Arabidopsis thaliana: one gene and its partners. The protein of the gene in region 2 interacts with the protein of the main gene of each other region in a pairwise test. Each region holds a gene or a part of one and is shown on either strand. Other genes may lie near its edges. The genes, in order: UPL6, AT1G21280 and AT4G19050.

What was found.
Region 1: the proteins of AT1G21280 (region 2) and UPL6 interact in a two-hybrid assay, tested with the Arabidopsis thaliana proteins (one large-scale study listed by BioGRID).
Region 3: the proteins of AT1G21280 (region 2) and AT4G19050 interact in a two-hybrid assay, tested with the Arabidopsis thaliana proteins (one large-scale study listed by BioGRID).

Annotation. Positions count from the first base shown.
Region 1 is NC_003074.8:5,871,423-5,876,125, reverse strand, and holds the start of UPL6 (ubiquitin protein ligase 6), read right to left. Parts: upstream 3,076-4,703; 5' UTR 2,599-3,075; coding exon 2,440-2,598; intron 1,969-2,439; coding exon 1,871-1,968; intron 1,773-1,870; coding exon 1,645-1,772; intron 1,263-1,644; coding exon 1,151-1,262; intron 997-1,150; coding exon 816-996; intron 734-815; coding exon 551-733; intron 369-550; coding exon 186-368; intron 1-185. UniProt on the Arabidopsis thaliana protein: Probable E3 ubiquitin-protein ligase which mediates ubiquitination and subsequent proteasomal degradation of target proteins.
Region 2 is NC_003070.9:7,446,952-7,450,115, forward strand, and holds AT1G21280 (Copia-like polyprotein/retrotransposon), read right to left. Parts: upstream 1,533-3,164; 5' UTR 1,453-1,532; coding exon 739-1,452; 3' UTR 539-738; downstream 1-538. Other genes in the region: WAK2 (wall-associated kinase 2), read left to right, coding at 1-394.
Region 3 is NC_003075.7:10,439,449-10,446,004, forward strand, and holds AT4G19050 (NB-ARC domain-containing disease resistance protein), read right to left. Parts: upstream 4,674-6,556; 5' UTR 4,590-4,673; intron 4,341-4,589; 5' UTR 4,339-4,340; coding exon 797-4,338; intron 718-796; coding exon 654-717; 3' UTR 536-653; downstream 1-535. Other genes in the region: AT4G19045 (Mob1/phocein family protein), read right to left, coding at 318-340; AT4G19060 (P-loop containing nucleoside triphosphate hydrolases superfamily protein), read right to left, coding at 5,634-6,556. UniProt on the Arabidopsis thaliana protein: Potential disease resistance protein.

The DNA of each region.
Region 1 (4,703 bases), on a different chromosome or scaffold from region 2:
TGACATAAGCTGTTGACTATTGAGCACAAGGTACCTATTCACAAATCTACTATACATGAACACCGCAAAGTGAAATTCACTGTCGAGAAAAGGAAAAAATTAAGTAAACATGCACTAAGATACCAACCACAGTAGCTAACACAAACACACCCAAATACAATAAATCGACTACATAAGGAACCTACCATGTCCAATGAACATTCAGGCTGTGACAACACCACGTTTGCAGTGTCCAACGTGTTACCAAGTAGGCAAGCATAACCAGGGAATTCTGGGCTTGTTTCCATTGGGAGAACACAGGTATCCTTTTGAATACAGGAAGCCATCTGGTGAATGTAGTGTTGACTTAGACTCGGGTTGGCAAATACCTGGACAATGAAACTATGAGTTTACCAAAGTTTAAATAGATGCTCACAGTTGAGATAATATTTAGCTCAGGGTCAAACACAAAATTGTAAGAAACCAAAAGCTATCATTTAGCCTCAACGATTTTACATATATTTTGATTAGCGTATATCCGTAACTAAAAAATATGAGTTCAGGAACCAACCACTTTCAAGTTTGGGAAGAGCTTCCATATCAAAGGTATTGTAAGAATCATAGATGAGAAACTCCAACGTGGATCAACAACAGTGCAGCAACATGGCTCACGGCCAATATGTGGTACTATCAGTATCAATACTCTTTCTAGTGAAAGGATGTTGCCGGTCATAGTCTTACCTCTTGGGCTTTCCTGCAACAAACCACAATTGCTTCAAAAGTTTAGATTGCCAACTAGGTGGTGGGGCATAATCATGGGGAACTGCTGAAAATACCTTAGCCGTAGTGACCATTTCTCGGACCAGTTTGAATACTTTTCTTTTTTGTAGATAACTAACTATTTTGCAGACCCAAGGCAGCTTAGGATCTAGCAACAACGAAACTGCCTCCATCAAGATAGCTGTTGAAATGCTAGCTTCTTCAGGAGTAACTAAGAGCTGATCCCTTAAACGGTTCCTGATGATTCAAATCAGAAAGAGGCAAAACTGAATATTTTAATAACAGAACTGAAAAAGCCAAGATAGCAATAGTTGGTCACATTTTGAAAGAAGAAGGGCTATTGCTTGGATATGCTCTACAAAATGAGAGATGACAAAAATATATATATTACCTATTCTGGTGTATCGCCTCGATACAGGTAAATGCAAGTTTCTTTACTCTAAAATCCACCAAATTATGCTCAGAAGAATAGTCCAAGCCAGAAAAAAGGCTGACAATGTCACCTGTCATATGATGAGAACTGTAATACATCAGTAAGCAAGATCCCAGTCATCTTCGAAAAGAAACTAGAGAAAAAATTGTCTGTGAAGCAAAAATAATATTAAGGCAGTCTATATGTGTGAGGATGTAAACAGCAAACAGGAGACTTTAATTTGTGGTGCAAGGGATATGACTCACACAATGTTTTAAGTTTGTTGCTCGTAAGATAAACATAATAAATAAGAGTATGAACGCCATAAAAAGACTGATTAAGCAAAATGAAGACTTGGAACATGCTTCCCCTTACATAAGAGTTACCAAGAAAGGAAAAGCACGTTGATCAAACCCATGAATGAATTGAACAAAAGTGTCAACAAAAGAAGCAGGCATAGATATTGGAAATACCACTGCTGTCAACGAAACTCTGCAGTAGACGACAAGTCTCCACAAGTATCACAAAATCTCCCGAGTTTTGTGCCTTGAAAAAAAACAGAAACTGCCGGAGGAAACTTGAACCTGGCTCAAAGCAATGTCTGGATGTAGGCAAAAAAATATACAACTAATTAACCATAGAACCATTTAAAGACCAAAAAAAAACTATAGCAAACATAATAGACCAAAGAAAAAGTACCTATCAACATTCTGGCAATTATTCCCATAGGTTTCACAGAAATCATGCCGCACCTTCGAGCGCTCAATGGCCATTGATCTTCGACCTCTAAAGAATTTCTGTAGCCAAAAACTAGTCAGCACCATGCCCATCAGGAGCATAAATGATTGAAAAACTTTTTCCCTTTACCCACAACAAATGCACTTGTCCACATAATAGAAGAAAAAAAGAAACACTTTGAAGTGTTGCATTTGCAGCTCAAGCTCACATTTTGTAATCGCAATAGTTCAATCTTAAAAACTACTACTCAAAACAAAAATCCACAAGACCTGTACCGCAGGACACCGTAACAGGATAAATTTGTTCCAGAGGCTAAATCTAACGAGGACAATGGAGATTTAGAATAACATCTACAAAGGAAAATGTCGGTTCAATTTCCAACTAAACCTCAAAACTATAAAAAGTAAACATTATTTAGCTCAAAAGTTCTACATATCTTGCAAAATGACTCACTGTGTTCGTTCTACATTGCTCAGAAAACACAAATAAAATCCCAGAGTCCCAAAAGAAAAGGCTTTTCAATCGCAAACCTGAATTTTGAGAGCAGCAGAGTTCTGCTGCTTCTGTAGTAACCGACGATTACGCTCCATTCTAGTCTGCTCGAGAAGCTTCCGAGCATCTCTCTCCTTGGTGCTCCGGCCACCTAAATCAACTCGCTTCCGAGTCGAAGGATCGCCGGAGAAAAACATGTTCTTGAGCTAAAACTAGAATACCAATACACGATTCACTCCCCGAAAACCTAAGATTACTGTATTATTAGAGCCAAAAGGAGCTAGGGATGTGATCGGCGTATGCCCTAGAACTGGAGATAACAGAGCAAGGAGATAGATTCTTTCAAAGGTGAAAAATGATAACGAATTTGGATGATATGTGTGCAAAGGGGCAAAAACAAAATCAAACAGAAGCAAAAATTTCTGAGGAGCAAGGCAAGGCAAGGAACCAAAGCAATTAAGAAAGATAGTTTTCGGAAGCCGACTCTCAACAACGAAGACGGAAACTTCGTGAGTGGTGAATTCAATACGACGTCGTTTTCGAGTCTTTTTGAGGAAGACGAATAATTGGGTCGTCTCGTGTTACACGGGAAAAAAATTGTGTCTATTGGTTGGTTGGTTGATTTTATTTTTTGTAACATCACTGGTGTTATGGTTTCTCATCTTTATGGTGATTTTCAATATCATGTACGAATTGTTTAATTCGAGTTGTATAATAGACACCAAAATAATAGAATTGAATTGCAAATTTCCCATACAAAATGTGGTCCTACTTTTTGATTCATAGTTACCTTACCAACTACAAGAAGTTTCTTTCGGCCTTTTAGCCCAAATTCAGTGATATTCCTAGAAGCCCAATTCAGTTATATTACTAGAAGCCCAATTCATCATGCTCATCGACACATGAGCGGAAAATGTCAAGACGGTTATCTCCAAGGCTTAGCGAGTAAGCAAACTTCTTGTAGTCAGCCCATGTGAACGTCCGGTAAAGCCGTGGCTGTTCTGCCGCCGGGATGATTCCCGGAATAGGGCCTATCTTTGCATGGACGGATGGACCGGCAAAGTACGCCATCGATAGCCTGCTTGCATGTCCGGTAGTCACCGCTCTGTGTCGTACGCTTAAGAATCTCCCATTCGTCATCACCTAGAAATTTTGCATCGATTAATATTTTAGTTATAATAGTTGTGGAAATTTATAGAATCTTAGTAGATTCTTACATGTTGATATGTATTATTAAATAGTTAGATTCCTGCATTTTAAGTTTTTCAAGTAGCACCTGAAAACCTTTTTTTTTTTTTAAAGTAACATATACAGAATCAAATGGGTAATGAATATAGGGACTGACCTGCAAAAGATCGCCAACGTTTACGCAAAAGGTTGAAGGGTCAGGGGAGACAGAGACCCACCTTCCGTCAGGGAATGCCACCTGGAGGCCCCCTACTCTATTGGATCTAAGGACTGTCAAGATCTGAGGGTCTGTGTGTTCCCCGAAGCCAACTCTCGGTAATGACACAGACATATCAGAAACCTTGGCTCCACTAAGGAATTGATTGGATGATGGGTAGTGATTAAGCCTGAGAACTGAGTCGCTATCAACGGCTCTGATTAACTTGCTGAAGGTATGAGGTGGGAGCCGTAGTCCTTCAGCCGTGAGGTCTAAGATCTCACACGCCAACTGCTTAATTGCTTCTACGTAACACGTCACCGCAGAGCTGTCAAACAGACATATCATACATCATCACGAGTTGCTCATTATAAGAAATACATATATTATAAGATAAGAGAAAACATAGAAACATTAAGCTATATATATATACACTTTTAGGATGAAACTAAACACGTCAGAGAGATAAGTGAAATTTCGAAAGCATAACAGTTTCAGGGGGGGGAAAAAAAAGGAAAAAAGGATTTTTTTTATTGTTGATATAAGTTAGCGTTATACACACTGCACACACAACATGCATTGCGTAAGTTAAAAAAAAAGTTACCCATTCCCTGTCGAGTAGACAGACTGATCGAGAAGCTGTACTTTTGAAATTCAAGTTGCTGACTCGAATTTAATGTTTCATAATATGTAAGAAAGAAACCAATTCATAAATTTCATTTGATTAAAAAAATATTATAAGTTTGGCTGAAAACAGAATTCCAATTCACTTGTAATTAGTCAACTATATATTTTTTATTATGGGTTAATTATTAGCTTTTCTTTTCCACTATAGTCAATAGAACACTCTGAAATCATCTTGTGGGTTTTTATGTTCTAGACACACTTTTAACATGTACATTCAAACGCGAAAAACAA
Region 2 (3,164 bases):
AAAGGCATTGTGTTTCGAAAGACCACATTGCCCAAAAAATCTTGTGAGTTGTTTTGCTTCTGCCACAAAGAATAATAGGTTCCATGAAATTATTGATGGGCAAGTGATGAATGAGGATAACCAGAGAGAGATCCAGGAAGCTGCAAGAATTGCTGCAGAGTGTACAAGGCTAATGGGAGAGGAAAGGCCAAGGATGAAAGAAGTAGCTGCAGAGTTAGAGGCCTTGAGAGTTAAAACAACTAAATATAAGTGGTCGGATCAGTATCGTGAGACAGGGGAGATTGAACACTTGCTCGGCGTTCAAATCTTGTCAGCACAAGGCGAAACCAGTAGCAGCATTGGCTATGACAGCATCAGAAATGTAACAACATTGGACATTGAAGCTGGCCGTTGATATTAATGCTCTGACAAAATCACATGTATATCTTTTGTTTGTAAAAAAAGAAAGTCATTTCCTTGTTGCTTCATCAATAATGCTTTGACAGATTTGTTTGTACATCATCAATAATCATGTTCATATTTTCCTTTACTTGGTATACTAACCAGTAACCGATCTGGTTATTGGCAAATTTAAAACTCTTGTGTTAAATTTTAGTTCATAAAAATCTAATTCCATATGAGATTGATAATATACAGATATAGCTTCAAACACATCTCAATAAGAAACACTAGAATCCCAAAAAAAAACATAGGCAAAGAAGAGAAAAGTTATGATCATAAACCTGCTTCCTAAATTCTTCATCTACTGTACCACTTCATCATCGATTCTGCATCTTTGACCATAGCGAAAGCTTCGTGAAGTGACGGAGGAGGTTTCTGGAACATGATTTTTGTCGTCACAGCCTCGAAGCCTTGGTTCAACTTCAACCCCATCAAAAACTCGTAACGCTGCTCCTTCTCTCTCGCCTCTTCAGCTCGTTTAGTACACTCGCAATTGCAACCACCGCATTTACACTCCGGTATAGGAGCATACTCCGACAACTCCATCCAAACTTTACTCAATTTCCCAAAATACTCCTCAACAGAGTCACCACCTTGCCTGAGCGTCGCGAGTCTCCGACGAAGCTGATAAATCTTCAAATCAACACAAGGAACGAATACACGTCTGAGATCTTCCCACATTTTATGAGCAGTCTCCGCGTACATAACAGATTCTAGAAGCTTATCGGTCATCGAATTCATCAGCCAATACATAACCATTGCGTTGCATTGTTCCCATGGCTGATAGAGCGGAGAGAAAGGGTCTGGCTTCGGGAGAGTACCGTCGATAAACCCGAATTTTTTCGTGACTCGGAGGAAAGAGCGAAATCGAATTTTCCAGGCGACGTAGTTGTCTTCGTCTTTGCTGAGTTTTTGGATAGAGAAATCGGAGGGATGATGAATATCGGGAGGGAGATAATACGGTGAATCGGGGTCTGATGTTGGAGATACGCTCTTGATAGTTTCCGCCATTGTCGTCGCTGCTCTGAGAGTCTCTCTCTGCTTCCAAATCCTAGGGCTTGCTTTGTATCCCTTTCGATTTTGACTTTTTTAGTCTCAAATAAAGAAATAATTTTCCAAAATAAGAAAAGTCGCAATTTTTTGTAAACAGTTGGGCTTAATGGGCCTTGTATTTCCCCTCCCTAGCCCAAAGTTTCAGGGATTACCTTACCCATTAAAGGACCCCGCGCATCATTGGGATATGATCTTGTTGGTCATTAATCAAAGCGTTGAACCTGGTGTCTTCACATGACCTGTATCTTGGTTTTGGAGGACAAGAAACATCAAAAACACGTAATCAGTTTACCAAAGCTCCTTATTACCGTGTAACCAAGGGACTTTGCATCTATGGTTCCATCTATTATGGTGCTTGGGCCCCTAGACTAAGAATGGATCCGGTGAATGGTGATTGTGTGTTTTCATGTTAGATATGAGAGGCTAAGTTTTATCAAAGTGCCTAGGGATGTTTTGGTTCGGGAGTGTGAATCAATATTGATAGAATACAAAGGGAAGTTAGCTTCCATTGCTAGAAACCCTTTAAGCTTCTCTAGTTTTGATTTGTGGATACTAGAGAATGTCAAGAAACATGTTGGTCCAAGCAAACATTTGAGCTTCCTTTCCCTTTGGTCAATATGACTTCTCCTGGCACCAACAAGGCTGGTGAAATCATTTTTGCCCCAAAATCTCTCCCACCCATTCTTCAACCCTTCTTCATTTTCTAGTACAATGTAGGAAAAAAGACATCAGAAGAGTTAGGCTCCATGGAATTGCAGACGAGAAAGAGTTTTGTCGCCGATGTGGACTCAATGACTCATACACGATATCTGCGTCTCTATCTCACCCGAACATGTTGAAACTATTGCCTCTTTGTAATGTGTTTTTCTTTAAGGACCTTAATGTAGGAGAAAGTGGGGACAAGTCAACGGAACCAAGTCAAGAGAACATCTCAAGAATGGAGTGTGTTTTCTTATATTTAAGAAGCAGATGCTTTGGAGAGATGAGAGAAACCAATTTAGAGAGAAAAAGAGAAGGAGAATATGAAGTTTGCGATTGAGGGTACAGGAAAGGCCAAGGATGAACGAAGTAGCTGCAGAGTTAGAGACCTTGAAAGTCAAAACAATTAAAACATAATCAGTATCCTGAGACAAGGGAGATTGAACACTTGCTCGGTGTTCGAATATTATCAACACAGGGAGATACCAGTAGCCGTAGTTATGACAGCATCAAGAATATTGGACATCGGAGCTCTGACAAATTCACACATGTCTTTTGTTTGTAAAACATGAATCCTACTTCTTTGTAATTGCCTCATCAAATTATGTATTGAGAGAATATTTTGTGCATCATCTATAGTTGTTATACTAACCAGTAGTCAAATAACCAAATTTAGAGCTCTTATGCAAAATTTCAGTTGACGAATCTAATTCCATATGACATTGATAATGTACCAATATGGATTCAAAAAACACGAAAACACTTCAAAAAGAAACACTATAAAAGCATAAAAAGTTAAAATCACGGACCTGCAAATTCCTAAATTCTTCCTCCCATTTTCCACTTCATCATCGCTTCTGAATACACAACCATCTCATAAGCTTGGTAAACAGACGGAGGAATCTTCTTGTGCATGACTTTCATTTTCACATAGTCAAACTCTTTGTTCAAACCCATCAGAAACGCGTAAC
Region 3 (6,556 bases), on a different chromosome or scaffold from region 2:
AATGCAAATTCATAGAATCAGATAAGCAAATTCTACATTAACTTGAACAAGATTTTGACAAGAATCATTCAGGACACATTGACAATGGTAGTAAGTTAACATTGGTTCCATCAAGTTCTGAATAATAGAAAAATTGAACAATCAAATCTTCATTCACAACCATTACTCAGCAAATCCACAAAAATCAACATATTGAAATATTAATACCCAATCAGGAATAACTATTCGAAAGATCTGAGATAACAAACAATCTCGAAATCTCTAGAAAAAATACTCTCTTTTTTCGGACAAATTACGGAGAGGAATCAGTAATTCACCTTCCAAGCCCGAATAGACTCATTGCTTTATCGGAGTGAGACACGAACTCGAAGGTGACTCTTTTATATTGCAATGTTTTCTTCGATTCTGATCTCTCTCTGCGTAAATTTCACGATCGCAGACCAAAACTTGAAGACGACTAAAAATAAAATAACATTCATTTATTCTTTATTTTAAGAGTTCACACAACACAACACAAAGTAACCATTTTGAAAAGTTTCGAATTACAAGCTCTGTCAAAGTTCAAGACTTGGATAATTATTAACGGTGAGATAATATAAGATCAGCGGAAATTTTGTTTCTTCATCCTCGTCGTGTGAAGAAGAACAGAGAGATTAAACTGTGTCTGTAGCTTTTGTGGGCTGGGTAGGAGTTTGGGTTTCAGGCCCAATAGTATTCCTGCACATGAAGAAGAACAGAACAGAGAGTGTGAAAACAAAATAAAGTTTCGATTTGTTTAGTTGTTAACTTCACTTACTTGTGAGGTTGATCCTCTGAAATTTCATCTGTAATCCTTGCTCCAATCCTCGGTTCATCTTCTCTAGCTTTCAATTTCGGACATTTCTCAATTGTGCATTTCTCCAGATTCGGGAAATTAGCTCCAAGTACTGATAAAACAGGCAAATCAAGAAGGTGAAGCTTACGAAGCTTCGATAATTCTCCTGCTTTTACTTCAAACAATCTCTCCAACTTATCACAGAACTTCACACGAAGAATCTCAAGGTTATCAGGAATCTCCGGGAATAGCCATTTGATGCTTGGACAACAATCTACGCTTAGCTTCTTAAGGTTCTTGAAAATGAATCCTCCTTTACTACTGTATAAGCTTGTTAGCAATGGAAGATTTGAGATCCAAAGAGTCTGCAATGATGGTGATGATGATTTCTCTTTCTCTAGTTGTTCATCTGATTCGAAGAGAACATCCATGTTCTTGCACCTCTCTACCCAACAACCTTTTACCGATGCCATCTGCAACTCGTCGAAGAGAGAAGATACGCTTTTGGATCCATTCTCTGCTATAGAGACATACTCTGCTTTGGCTATATACTCTGTTTTAAGATCAGTGGATCTTTTGATGTCAACAATATCGATATTCAAAGGAACTTCAGGATCAATAACTCTGTATCTATTGCCGTGATAAAGAAGTTTCTCGCGGGTTTTTTCCCCTACATTAGAGAAGCTAGAGCCCTCTGACTTACTTGTTAAACACTCTTTTATTTGGCTCCACTGGTCTCGCTCTATACAACTCGAATCCGCGAGAACAATACGTTTTGAAGAACAGAGGATGCTCTGTTTTGGCAACTCAGGAAACGTTTTCAGATTAGTCCCAGAGAGATTAACCTCGCAAAGGTAAGACATACTCTCGAATGATTCCTCGATTTTATCCAGATTGGTGCATCCCGAAACATCGAAGATCACTAGATGTGTTAGCTTCTCAAGATTTGGAAGAGCCTTTAGCTTAGAACAGTTTCTTAGGATGAGCTCTTTGAGGTTAGATAGCTCTGAGATTTTGTTAGGTAACTCACCAAGATTAGTTTCCGAAAGATTCACTTTGTGGAGGCAAGACAGATTCTCGAATGATCCCTCGATTGTTTCCAACTCGGTGCAGCCCGAAACATCGAAGATCTCAAGATTTGTTAGCTTCTCAAGGTTTGGAAGAGTCTTTAGCTTGGAACATTTTCTTATGATGAGCTCCTTAAGGTTAGATAGCTCTGAGATTTTGTCAGGTAACTCACTAAGATTAGTTTCTGAAAGATTCACTTCATGGAGGTAAGACATCTCCCCAAAGGATCCATTGATATTCTTCAACTTAATGCAACCAGAAACGTCGAAAACTTCAAGGTGTGTCAGTTTCTCAATGCTTGGAAGCTCTTCAATCAGTGAGCAATTCCTTAACAGAAGCTTATTGAGATTGACAACATCAGCAATCGTGTCGGCTAACTCGGGAAGACTTGTCTTTGACATATCGAGGATCCTAAGCTCTTTCTTCTCCTCTAAACACACTTCAAGCATCTCCACTAAGTCTGTAGCACCACATGCATCAAGAATCTGAAGATTAGTCAAAGGCCTAAGCTGTGGCAATCTCTTAAGCCTTGTACAGTTTCTCAGCAAGAGCCGGGTCAAGATTGGCATAGTACTGAAATCGTTAGTAGAGTCTTTGAGATGAAATATCGGCAGACGGATGATTTTAGTCTCTGAGAAGTCTAGGTGTTCAAGCAGCTGAAGCTGAGCAAAGTTCTTGTTCTTGCCTTTATAGTCCTTCCAATCTTTAACTCTATCAAAGTAAGACTCAAGTTTCCTAGCTCCGTGAATGTCAATAACTTCAAGTTTTCTTGTTTCCACAATGAAGTTAGGCAGATCTTGTAGCTCAGAGCAGTGCCTTAGGATGAAGCAACGAAGCATGCTTAGCTTTTCGATTGTGGAAGGCGAAGATTTGATTGCAAGTCCCGAAAGATTAAGGCTTTGAAGCTGAGTCATGTTCTTGAAGAAATCATCAGGGATGTTAACTAGAGAGCTAGCACCAGAGACTTCAAGAACATGTAGGCCTTGAAGACCACTGAGCTTATCGATGTTATCGATTAGATCACAGTCTCTGATAACAAGTACTCGGAGTTTCTTTAGCTTAGATAAAGACAGAACAAGTTCATGGAACGTTGGCTCAAAGAGGACTACAACTTCAAGATCTTGCATCTCTGGTTTCTCAAAGAACTTCCCATGAACCTCTCTACGTAAACGGTTTCCGCTAGCGATAATCGTCGTGATATTCTTCTTCTTCGATTGAATTGTCTGTATCATATCATCGATCAAGATGATTTTCCCTAGCCCCTTTCTCTTGTCTCCACCGTAAACTCTGTCAAATCCAAGAGAAGATCTTCCAAAGAATCCACAATCTTGAAGATCTAATAGGTTGCTCATGGAGAACTCTGGAACCACCATGTTGTCTTCTTGTATTTTCAAGATTCCTCTGTTCATAAAGTCCATTAAAATGGAATGTCCTTCTTGGTAAGCTTTGTCAACTGACTTAACCGGATCAAAATACCCTTCAAGCATCCAATGCACTATTAGGTCACGGTAGTAAGCGCATCCAGAGTACTTGTAGAAGTCCAAGATATGCCAAAAGCAAGCAATCACCGGACGTTTGACCGTCTCGTCAGGCTTTAACAGCTCGTAGCTTAATTGCAAGACAGGATTGTAGCGGCTGCGATCTATAGCGTTCTTGGAAGCAGCTGCTTCATCTAATGACTTGGAAGATAGAATCAGTTCTTTAAAGATCTTCCTCTGCTTCGCAGACATCGACTTAATGCTGTTTAAAGACTTGATTAAGACAACGATCGCAGCTGGTAAGCCCTTGCTCTTGCTTAAAATGCAAGACATCAAAGTAGGTTCTTTGATCTCTTTGTTATCGCAAAGTCTCTTTAGCAGAACAGGCCAATCTTCAGAGGTAAATGATGTAAGTAAGTCCTCGGCATCGTGGAGTAAGTCCAATGACTCCTTTTCTGTAAGCGGACCGACTTTGATCGTTGTGGATTCTTTCTCCTCTCTTTCATCTCTTCTTGTGACTAGAATCTTCACAGCCGAGTACTCCTTAAGAAAATCTTGGAGGTTTAATTCTTGCATCACATCTTCTTCAGTTGTCATACTTCCTTCATCATCCAAAATCAACAGAAGATTATCCTTCTTGTGTTTGATCATCTCTTCTTTAATCTTCTCTTTCAAGCTCTCCAATGGATAATCAAGCTCATCAGGTTCTTCGCCTTCTTCAAACTCGTAAATTATCGACAACTGAGCAGCTAGAATCTCGTAAAGCGACTTCTCGTCTTCAATCTTTTTGTTCAGGTGTAACCAGAGGACATTGTACTTTTCTTGAGTAACACGTTGGCTGACTTCTTTTGCAAGCCATGTCTTCCCTATACCAGCTTCACCAACGAGGACGGTTTTTGAAGGTACACCGTCTTGTCCCAATGAATCCATTATCTTCTTCAGAATCTCTTCTCTGCTTGTTTGATCTTGCTTCTCCATCTCTAGGAAAATAAAAAATGAGAGAGGAAATATTTAAACCTTTGATTTGAGTTTTCTTGAAGAGATCATTGTTAAACAAAATTATTGAGATTGCTACTAGGATAGTAACTTTATTTTTATGAACTTAAGAGATGTATTCAGAGAGTATACCACACTACCCCTATATATCCATGCAATATATGACAAATATCAACTAACAATACAAAACTAAAATTTAAAATTCGAAACAAAGAGAGAGGTATGAGAAGAACCTTAATTGTTTAGAGTGACTTAATCAGATTAGTTTTCTCCACTGATAGTTTTTTCTTTCTAGTTTTTGTTTATGTTTTGTTTTGTTATCCTTCGTTGATTGATTCACTTATTTATACAAGTCCAGCTCCGATAACTTCCATGTCAAGCCTATCCTGATTTTGTAAAACAACAATAACAAAATTCAAGTTTTAGATTACACTCTGTCGAAACAAAAACGCCAAGTATAAATATTAGATTCTTCCAATAATTATTCACCCTTATTATTTCAGAATTCAGAGTAACAATTATGCCCCTATATTTTTCGAATATATGACTTTTGGAATTGTTTACTACACAAGCAAAAACTTTTCTTTCCTTATTACATACAAAGGAAAAAGTTACATGCTAATCACATGTATTGCTCTAGTTTTTTTGTCTTTTGATGATCCTTTGTTCTACTTATGTTTGGTGATATGTGATACAGGTTTTACAAAAGTGAGGGTACAGATGTTTAACTTAACATATTTCTAGGGAGAATCTGCCACTTCTCTTAAGCTGAAAGGAAATTAATATTCTAATACTGTTTCATTACTTCTTTCAAAATTGAAGTACTTTGAAAGATCAGTATTCTTTAAGAGGAATTTTCACACGTGATAGTAAAAAAATACCATTATCATTTTTCCAAATTTCCAAAATAACTAGTAGTTTTAGATATGTATAAGTAAAGTGTCTAAAAGCTTAGAAATGAAAATTATCCAAGAGGTCCTCTGTCAAATCGGTAGTTCAAGCAGCACTTCCGCAATACGCTATGTCGTGGTTTTTAATCCACAAATCATCATCAACAAGCTACGAGGATCAATCTCAAGAAAATCGTGAAACTCTAAGATGATAAAAATATGTATTAAAATCTCTTTTTAATCTTTATTAACTGCCATAGGTTTACACTCACACAAGTGACAACTCTTAACAGTTTCTAGAACAATAAAATAACTTTATATAGTAATCTTGAATAGCTTCCTTATATCAGAGAGTAAATAGTAAATACATAGATATTGCGTTAGAAGTTAGAAGCTCTGCTTCCTATCTATGTTTCCAATTTCATCCACTTTCACAGGCTCAATCTTCGCCAGCATTCGAGCAGCCAAAGGAATACCACAAGACTTATCCATAAGCTCTTGTTTGTATCTTCCCGGATACCTCGGATTCACTTTCGGGGCTACTGCATCGCCCGCATTTGTGGCTACTGCATCGCCCAAATTCGTGGCTGCTGCATCGTCCACCTTGGTGGGTACTGCATCAATGTAAATCTCCCACAAGCTCTCTGCATCGGATCTTGGAAACAAACGCTGCAGATTCTCTTCTTCTCCGACTATCGCCTTCGCCAATCTCTCGTCTCTGCTAGTCATAATCACTTTCCCACCAAACCCTTTAGGAAACCCACAAGAAAGATGTGATTTTTCCTGTTGCTTCTTCTCATCATCGAGCCTTTGATCCCACTCGTTGTCTTCCCAAACATCATCCAACACTATCAGATACTTCTTCCCAATCAGATTCAAGTGAAGAGCATACAATAATCGAGCAAGCTCCTTTTCTTTGACCGTCTCTTCCTCTCTTTCCCCAGCTTCATCTTTGATACTCTTCTCTTCTTCTGCTTCTGTTTTGATGTGTTTAAACATCTCATCTTCAACTCCAAGGGATCTCAAGATCCTCTTCACAACATCTATCTTGGGATCTTCGTCTTCTTTTGTTTCTTTGCTGTACATAGAAACCCATATCCTCGGGAAATAAACTTGCTTAACATCTTCGTCGTTGAACACAGCCTGACACAATGTCGTTTTCCCAACTCCGTATTTCCCCACAATTGCTAGAGTCTTGAACTCTTCGGATTCCTTTTGCTTCAGCAAGAAGTTCTTCAAGAACAGTTTCTCGTTAATGAAACCACGAATGAGGTGATCCGGAAGCTCAGAGCTTGTCTCCACACGGTTCG